Oryzias latipes: one gene and its partner. The protein of the gene in region 2 interacts with the protein of the main gene of each other region in a biochemical or structural test. Links are inferred from orthologs where the notes say so. Each region holds a gene or a part of one and is shown on either strand. Other genes may lie near its edges.

What was found. The genes of interacting proteins can lie anywhere in the genome.
Region 1: of the proteins of aurka (region 2) and otud7b, one has a biochemical effect on the other in vitro, tested with the Homo sapiens proteins (2 studies listed by BioGRID, with this or other methods). The link is inferred for Oryzias latipes from reciprocal best matches to the Homo sapiens genes AURKA and OTUD7B.

What each region holds. Positions count from the first base shown.
Region 1 is NC_019874.2:29,131,562-29,136,444, reverse strand, and holds the start of otud7b (OTU domain-containing protein 7B), read right to left. Parts: upstream 3,324-4,883; 5' UTR 2,847-3,323; intron 1-2,846. Other genes in the region: rbm8a (RNA-binding protein 8A), read right to left, coding at 3,655-3,703, 3,930-4,066. UniProt on the Homo sapiens protein: Negative regulator of the non-canonical NF-kappa-B pathway that acts by mediating deubiquitination of TRAF3, an inhibitor of the NF-kappa-B pathway, thereby acting as a negative regulator of B-cell responses.
Region 2 is NC_019863.2:11,351,303-11,356,041, reverse strand, and holds the start of aurka (aurora kinase A), read left to right. Parts: upstream 1-1,454; 5' UTR 1,455-1,803; intron 1,804-2,114; 5' UTR 2,115-2,117; coding exon 2,118-2,183; intron 2,184-2,692; coding exon 2,693-3,038; intron 3,039-3,117; coding exon 3,118-3,154; intron 3,155-3,245; coding exon 3,246-3,437; intron 3,438-4,739. UniProt on the Homo sapiens protein: Mitotic serine/threonine kinase that contributes to the regulation of cell cycle progression.

The sequences.
Region 1 (4,883 bases), on a different chromosome or scaffold from region 2:
TTCCAGGAGATCTGTCTCAAAAAGGCTCACTCCTGCTGTTTTTTTTTAACTTCAGCAAAAAAAAAGAAACACGTCAACATCCGCTCTGCTGCTATTTTCATCTTTAATTGGCGCATCTTACAGCTTTTGCCATTTCTCATGTCTTCTGTTTCATTCAAGTTAACACTAAACTGCTGACTGCATCCCATTTCAAATGTAAATAGTCCCAACCACAACTTTAAATACAGGTCAACAAATTTAAATAATAGATAGAAAGTTAAAGTGCAGCAGGTAGGTATGCAAATGTTGCTGAGAGTAAACTCATGTCTGATTTGAAGCAGCAACAGGAACTAAAATGTGCATTGGAAGAAATGCTCTTCGTCTTTTTTTTACGTTGCTTGCTTGGAAAAGAAAACGAAAGCCACACCTTGCTTTAAATGTTAAATGAAAGTGCTTTCGTTGCAACTGAAACAATGAATGCAATGTTTTCTGAGGTCTTTTTGAAGACGGCCAGGCCGTCACGCACGCAGACACGGGCTCTGCAGCGTCACTGCTCGCGCTAGATTCTGGATTTGACAGGCAGCACTGCTGATCAGACAGGACAAAACCCAAGATGGCTTCTTATTGAGCAGAAAGGACGTTAAAGGTCCAAATACAGACTTTAGATTTACACGGGTAGTTCCGACCCTTCTAGTCGTGAAATGGACATAAACATGTAAGAAGTCCTCCACTTTAAAGACCCGCTCCAATGTTTTTATCATGTTCCTGTAGCATTTTTCTCATGATAGTGGACATATGTAAAGAAAATTAAGCTTGAAATTGCATTTCTGAGGATTTTTTCTTCAGCATGTTGTGAATGAGGAGCAGATGAAAAAATGCCCTTTAATAGAGACCATATTTGTGATGTAGAAAACAAACTGGGTGGTCCACAAGTTTCCTGCTCCGCTCCATTCTGATGCATCCACTGGGAGACAAACAGATACAGGGACGTCTTTGTTTTCCTCGTCTGAGCAGGAATCTGGATAGCTTCAATAGTGCTCCCCATTTTTGTAGCACCAGTAGTGTTAGGTTGGGGGTGTGAGGGGCTGTAAGCTAGCAGGAGAGCATATCAAATGGATGACAGGAAATAAGGGGTGGGCTTACTGCGTTCCAACAGCCCCGCCCACAACTTAGAGGCCAATTTCTAATGAACTACTGCAACAACAGTTATTTTATTAGTTTAGGGAAAACGCGGCATAGATAAAAAAAAAACACTGGGAACGCTTTAAAAGAGATCAAAAAATGATTAGAGTTGGACTTTAAAGATGTTTCCATATGTAAAAAAACATATAAAAGGATTCTTCTAATCTCACCACACTTCCAAATTCTTGTAAATATGCTTAAAGTCCCACTTCGATCATCAGCAACCCTTGTGCTATCCTAGGCACTTTAACATTGGGAATTGGGTCATCCAGACCCACTAGAAGCTTTTTTCTTCAATGGTTTGTGAACCTCACTGGTGTCCATGAAATCTTTCCACCTTTATCCACCTTTGTCATGGTAGGAATAACACGTTAATGTAAAGGTGGGGTCATCTAAGATAGCACAAGGGGTAAAGATGATGCATGCATCAGAATGGAGCGGGGCAGGGAGCTTGTGGCCCACCATTGTAGGTCCTATGTCACAAGCTTTTGTTTCTGCTCGTGATCCAATATGAATGAAGAAATGCTCAGATTTTACGCTAAACTTTCTTTAGCAAATGCGACAAGAACATGTTTCATGGAGGCGGGTCTTTCAGTGAGCTGAATTTGGTTTGAGTGACTGAAGGCACAGGTCCTGTTCCAGTCAGCATCAGTGTTGATCAGCAAATCTCCATCAGGTTGATGTTCCAAAAGTGAAAGGAAGAAAGAGGATTACACATTTGGGTTTCTTCAAAGGATGGAGAGACGTGAGCAGCAGAACTAGATGACCTCTGCTCTGTTTATTTTGTGTGGCCGGGCTGCAGAAAGCAACACAACTATCTGTCCTACTTCTTTTGACTACCAGCGACCCAAAGAAGACTGAGTCCACAACCACGTCTCAATAATTCAAGAGCAAAGGAAACCTAATCCCCTCTCATCGTGGCCATGTTGACAAATAACAGGACGGTGTCTTTAATAAAACCACGAACCCGATGACCAGGCGAGATTTCAGAAGGAACGGTGGACGGAGCCGACCGCGTCCGCTTCAGGGGGAGCTCGGAGAAACGAGGAGTCCGGGAGCCGGAATGTAAACAGTTATTTCTGGCATTCTCCCGCTAAGCCGGTTCCTTAAATAAAAGGTTACATCACGCATGCACCGCAAAAGCGCACCGGCCGGGCTGTAGTGTGCCGACAGCTGTGTAAGAGGACTAAAACATTGCAAGTATTTCTTTACGATTATCACAAGAAAGGCGAACAATATAAACGGACGTCTAAAAAAAAACAAAAACAGAACTGATCGCCTCTTTTGCAGGAATTTAGATGGAGGAAACCCACCCATCGTTTGGACTCGTGGGTAGATTATATAGTGGCCGTGGCTACTCTTTCAAATATCAGACAATACACATGCTTACATAAACGCATTTGAGGCGTTCAAACGGGGTTGTTGAATCGTAGCCACACAGCCTCCTCCTGACTAAACTTTATTTCTGAGGGGGGAAAACGTACCCCTCCCCGGTTAGCCTGCCAAACAAGACAAGTGCAAGAAGAAGAATTGTAATTGAAGATGGAAACAGAGGAGATGAGCATTTGTCAGAGACTAGACGAAACCGTTACGTTTGGCTAGCAAGTGGCTACCGAAGCCAGGCTAATCAGCGGCTAACGTTTGCTAAAGCTAGTAGTGTGCTAGAGTATCGTTTTACCGCTCACCTCTGACGGCCTCGGAGATGTTTCCATCGTCCCGCCGGGGAGTTTTCCAGCGAACATCGACTTGTGTGTGGGATGGAAGTTTCCAGGAAAAGTACTGCTCAACTTTTTACCAGCATCACAGGTGTAAAAAAAAAAAATTCAGTGTAGAATCCCAGACCGGACCACAAGCGACAAAGTAATTTCTCCACCACTTACAACAACAACGTCAAACTAGCGATTAACCCCGCCCCCAACTGATAATCACCCAATCCCGCTGACGCGTCCGTTTGATTGACGTCAATAATATCCAATGAGTGTTCAGCCTTAAGGACGGAGTGAAACGTTAGTCTGCCGATTGGCTGCGTGACAAATAAAGGGACAGGGCTTTTGTCCGAGCAGCCTATGAACGCAGCACTGAAGGCAGAGTGACAGGTGCTTCGGGGTTCACGGGGGCGTCGCCATTCACAGGATGAGATCATCCCGGATGTAAACTATGCAATTGAAAAAAAGAAACCACACTGGAAATGTATTTCCACTTTAAAACTTTAATACAGTTCAAGCCAATAAAAAAATGGAATAAAATCCAGGTCACAAAGAGCAAACTAGGAAAAAAAAATTGACATGGTGCAACAAAAGTTGGCCAAAAGATGCACAAAAACCCAGTTTTTATCCAATTTTAAACAAATCATCCTGGTGTTTGCTTCCACGTGGATGTAAAGCACAGATACTAAGAAACATACTACAATAACTTTGAACTTTCCATTTGAAGATGTGACAAAAAACAAAACAAAACAAAAACTTTCCAACTATCACGCGCCAAAGATGGTGTTTAACGCCGCCTCCTGTCGGGACTTCTGCTGCGTCTCCGCCCACCGGTCCTGAAATAAACAGGGAATAACAGAAATGTTTACAACCTTTGAGGTACAATAACATTTAGACGTATATAATCAAACACCAAAACTTAAAGATATCAGAAAAAATAACCTGGAACATAATAAAACCCACTAGACTTCAACAAAAAAGTCAAACAGAACTGTACAAGAAAAACTGTACTGTGTGTGTTACTACAACCACAGCCAAATACATAAAAATGCACATGAATACCTTCTCTTGTTCTTGGGGGGCCCCCTGACAAATGCCCAGTCTACACTGACAGGCTGGCCCATCAGATCCTGAGCGTTGAGCCCCTCCATGGCCGCCTGGGCCTCTTTGTACGTCTCATACTCCACCAGTGCGTAGCCCTGAGAACAGGTGGATGCAAATCACATCTGTTTTTATTGTTGTGATTTTACACAGCTAACATGAAAACATTTGAATCTACCAGAGTTTAAAACAAATGTTTTGCAAAAAAAAAATACTACAATTGATTAGCTTGTTATGTTTAACTTTACTTTAAAGATGCAAATTTTATTAGGACAAAAAGTTCATTCTGTTTATAAAACACGAAAATGAACAATTCCTTCCTAAGGGTTGATTTATTTTAACAGCAAAGACGTGCTGCCCCCTTGTGGCTAAGAAACATGCAGCACAATAGACGCCACTGACGATGCAACTTTCCCCAAGCGTTTTACAGTCAGACACTATTTATCCCAAATTTACTGAACGTGCTATGTCAGTTTCTAAATCAAAAACATACACAGTCATTCTTATCAAAGTATCTTGACTAAGAATCAAATGAACACAAACATACATTTATTTTATTTAAGATCTTTTATCAATGACTGTTCAAAACCAGAGATGCATTGAACAGAGCTTGTATGTTATTTACTGATCAATAGTTGTCCCGTATCTTTCATATTGTGCAGATATTTGGGGAAATGCAGGAGAAACTATCATTGAATCATTATTTAGTTTATGGCTGCGCAATGTGAGGAAAACTCGTGATTTGCGATACAAGTGATTAATATTGCGATGACGATTTAACTTGCGATACACGAACAACCAAAACCATGATTTCCATTTCACTGCAACAGTTTATTTTACATTTAACATAACTGAAATCCTATTTACTCCAAATGACCCTTGTCTACATAGCAGGTGAGCATCTAACATAAAAGG
Region 2 (4,739 bases):
CAGATATGGAAGAAAAGTGCCAAAGTTGAGACGGTTGTACTTTCAGATCTCATGTTCTGTTAAAAAAAAAAAAAAAACTGTTCCTCAACACAGCCGACTGCACTCACACTAACTTAGGAAGGTAGATGTATAAATGTAAGCAGTTCAAAGGAAACAGGTGGAGAACTCTACTCCATCTATCTAAGCGATCCGAACTTTCAGGGCCAGTTTGATTTCTTTATTAGAACTATTTCTGTAATGTTTCTCTGCGGGACCTCAGCAATACCAACACTGTCTCTTTATTTTTGTTTTTTAGGCAAAGCCTGAATGAATGTACTGTTGTATAAAGACTTATTGTATTATTTAAGTTAAAAGAAGGGATCAATGTTCTCGCCATATTTATATTTTTATAGTAAGACCTTGTCAGATTCTGCCTTTCTGTCAATGTAAATGTGTCGTCTGTCAACTTTAAGTTAAATGCAGAAATTGAACGTTTAACATCCAGTCGGCGGTCTTTCAGTTTAAAGGTCGCTGCAGGTGCTGCACAATGAAGCCGCTGTAACTGTATGAACTGTTCTATGGTATTGTAGACGCCTTCTTTGATACAATATTTCTAAAACTTTAAAGAATGTATTTATTTAGAAAAACTGTTTATTTCTTGCTAGTCTTTACATCAAAAAAGAATGTACAACTAAAGAAATGTTACCTGTGAACAGGAGAAAAAAAATGAATATAAGAATAAAAGTAAAATATTTTAACTTAAAAGCTTCCCCTCAATATTTTATTTTCCATGAGAGTTCTGTGGGTTTTGCTTTAAATATTTTCATAATAAAATATAACTGAGAAAACAAACACTTGGGACTAAAAATTTTAACCACTTATTGAAAGACGTTTTCTATTATGGAAAAGAGAGACTAAACTAATAGAGACTAAACTAATTTTTGTGAGCTAGTTGGGTACTTTTGAATTAAAAATCAAATTATATTCGTTCATCTGAAGGCCTCAAGAATGGGGGAGATGTAGTTACTCATTATAAACACAAGGGGCCGCAAGTGTCTTAAAAAACAAAATAAAAAAGTATTTAGTTAGCCCATGCGTCATCATTATCCTAATCAATTTTATGTGAGTAACCAAAGAAAACCTTGGACGGGTGTTGAATTATAACCCCCCCCCCCCCTCCCTTTTTTTTGGCGCAGAATGAGCTTGACCAACCATTTACTTTGGTCTGTTAAACTTCTCCCCTCGTGTTTTTTTCTTTCTAAATAGCTATTACCGTTTTGAGATAGTTTTAATTTTATCTTTTTTGCGTTTATTTGTTTGTTTTCGTAAATTGTTTAAACTGACCGAACTGAACCTGCGCTCTGCCATCTAGTGCTTTGGAACTCCAATTACCCATGACGTTCCTGCCGCCCATTCGATACATTGTATTAGCCAATAGGAAACCGAAATTGGGCATTCTGTCAGCCAATCAGACCAGCTGATTTTTTTTAAAGGTTAAAACAGGGACGTTTGAAATTTCTAATCAGCGTTTCAGGAAAAGAATCGTGTGGTCACAGACATCTCTGTAGTTTAAACCTTTTAGGTGTTTTGAACTAGTTTTGCCGCATATATTTATTTGCTTTCAGTCCAAACAAGTTGTCTGTTCGTAACGTTTCACTGGACTTTGCGTTTATATTTAGACAAAAGGAATTATCTTTCGTTAGCTAGCTTTCGTAGCATCTACGTGGGCATGGTTTTTTTCTTCTTGAATGTATTGGACTGATTAATTCTGGATATTTTAACGTGCCGTGGTTGCTGTATATCATTGTGCAGTAGTACATTTGGGTAAGTTATGTCAGACGTTGCATTAAAAATAGTTTGTATGATAGTTGCTAAGCTAACAGAAGCACTTGTTCATTAACGTTAGCTAGCCTCTGGAGAAGAGAACATCAGCTCTTTTAACTTGACTTAAAGTATTTACTTTTATAAATGTTTTACCTTTACGTGCATAGTTTGTTCACTAAGATTATATTTGATCATTGTCTGTGTAAGTACTACAGTTAGCATTGCGGACCTAAGCCTATAATTTCCTCGTGTTTTCATCTGATACGCTATTTGAATTATATACTTATAATAATATAAACTTTTTCCTTCAGGAAATGGATCCTTCTCCCTCACTCAAGGTGACAAAGAGTGTGAAACTGCAAAAGCCTGAAATAAAGCAGGTGAAGTCAGACTGATTTTCTTTTTTTAAGTTTAAATGTCTAACTTTTTTATGCCCTTCACTGCATTTTCATATATAGTATAGTAATTAGGGATTGATTTATATTCAATGTTGGAAAATACCATTTGGATTGAGAAATATAAATGACCAAGTGACATCACAGCGGACAACGCACGTGATCAAGCCATCATTACAAAATGTGTGGAAACACTTTGGATTTAGCAAAAACATGATTATACGGTGTGATAGAACCTTCTAATACTGTTCCATATATATTATTTTTATGTGTATCTCTGAGTCACACTGGTTGAATTTTGGTTAAAGATGTCTGGGATCCATTGTAGGTCAGTGAAACAGATCGAATCATTCAAATCAAACAAGAATGAACTATGAATCTACAACCCCTAATGGTAATATAGGTTAGAAAGTAATACTGATGTAGCAATATGTAAAGCTGCATTTCCTTGAATTAAATGTTAAAATTTCTATTTGCTGGTCTCTTAATTGCAGTCCGGCAGTGATGGACCACGACGAATTCCTGTGTCTCAACAGCATCAAATGGTTCCCAAGGCAATAGTCACACCCACCTCGCATCAGCGAGTTCTCAGTGTGTCAAATGGACCTCAGCGTATCCAGCGACCTGTTAGTCATCAGAAACCGGTATCTCAAGTCGCTTTTACCAACAAGTCCTCACATTCTGGCGATCAGAATGTGAATCCAGCTACTCTGAATGCACATCATGCTCCACCGTCTAAACCTACGTCCCAGCAAAACCAACCAAAGACTCAGGTTCTCGGTGCAAATCCAGATTTGGCCAAGCCACCGTCGGAACCCATAAAAGCAGACAAGCAACAGAGTAGGTTATGCCACTGAATTAAACACATTTCTCACGTTTAAAAATAAGTTATTTATACATATATATTATATTTTATCAGGCAAGCTCTCAAGAACTGAGCAGGGCTCTACATCCAAGTATGTCAAGTACAGACTATTTTTTATCATGCATGTATAAGCCTGAAAATGTTCTCTGGAAGGCTGTAACCAGACTGTTGTGCTCATACAGGAAGCGATGGAGCCTAGAAGACTTTGACATTGGTCGTCCTTTAGGAAAGGGAAAGTTCGGCAACGTCTACCTCGCCCGAGAGCGACAGACCAAGTTCATCTTGGCTCTGAAGGTTCTTTTCAAGAAGCAACTGGAGAGGGCTGGGGTGGAGCATCAGTTGAGACGAGAGGTGGAAATCCAGTCACATCTCAGGTAATTCTGGCTAACCTGATCTCATCCCAAACAAGTATTTGCAGACACAAATCTCAACCTGATTATGATTTTGGGGCTGATCCCATCTAGTGTTTGTACCTTACAATCATTGACTGACAAACTCCAGTACAGCAAACAGATTCACAGTCAAAATTGCAAAAACAATATTGCTGTCATTTACATAACTGTTTATAGAGAAAGCTTATACAATGTGGGGGTGACGCAAAATCCAATACTACTCATTCAGGAGATTCCGACTTTGAGAGAGAACTTTTTAAAATGGGTTATGATGGCGTTACTATGGAAGCTTGTTAGATTTAAAAAAAAAAAAAACAGGAGATCTTCGTTCCAAGTCTTTTCGTGCTTTTTGTTCTACATAAGCAAAGAAGTCTAAGCAGCCCGGGCTCTAACCTCATCTGCTCATGAAAACTATAGGATGAGCTGCAATTAGAAGTAGAAAAAGTCTCATAGACATGATCTGTTTGTGTTTGTCACAATATCACCAGTCTGTTTTCTTCTTCCTACTTATTCACAAATGTTACAAAGCAAAATGTTGGGTAAGTTTCAAATATTAACCAGTAGGAACTGTTTGTTTCTTTTGTTTGAGTCAATCTCAACGACAATAATAGGCGCAAAGCCCGTGGTTGACCTGCTGGAGGCTCCCGTTGTGGGTGTGGTCGACTTCACCATAATTCTTATGATTTTTGCTATGAGTTTTGTTTCAGAATTTGCTCTTAATATTTTTCTGAACTACTGGTATAACAGTTGTAGTCCTAAAGCGAGGAGCTAAGGACGCGTCTACGACTGACATTAGGGATTTTAGTGAAGGTTGTTTAAACAATAATGTGTTCTTGTGATGTTTTTGAGATTATTGAGGGTGAGTTGTGAGAAATTGATTTTCGGGGTCGTTTTCGTGTACTTCATTGACGGTCCCTGCCGGACTTTGCTTCCATGTGAAGCTGAAGGCTGCAATTTTAACAGCAAGGCAGGAGAACTTGGATGTATCCATGTGTGTTCTTGGTTTGAGTTGGCGGCACCGACTGCAATAGTTACCGAAATGTGTTTATTTTTAGTTTTGGAAATTCTGTGAAAAGTTATGGATAAAGCATTGCTAAAAAAAAAAAGTGTACAATCCCTGAAAATCAGAGCCATCCAGCTGTAAGCAGGATCCAGCTCAGAGGAGGAAAAGGAAGACGGTAATGTATCCATTTGTCTGCAAGCGGATGCATCAGAATGGAGTGAACAAGTAGACTGGTAAAAACCCATTTCAGTTGCTGCGTCACAACTGAGTTTTTTTGCTGC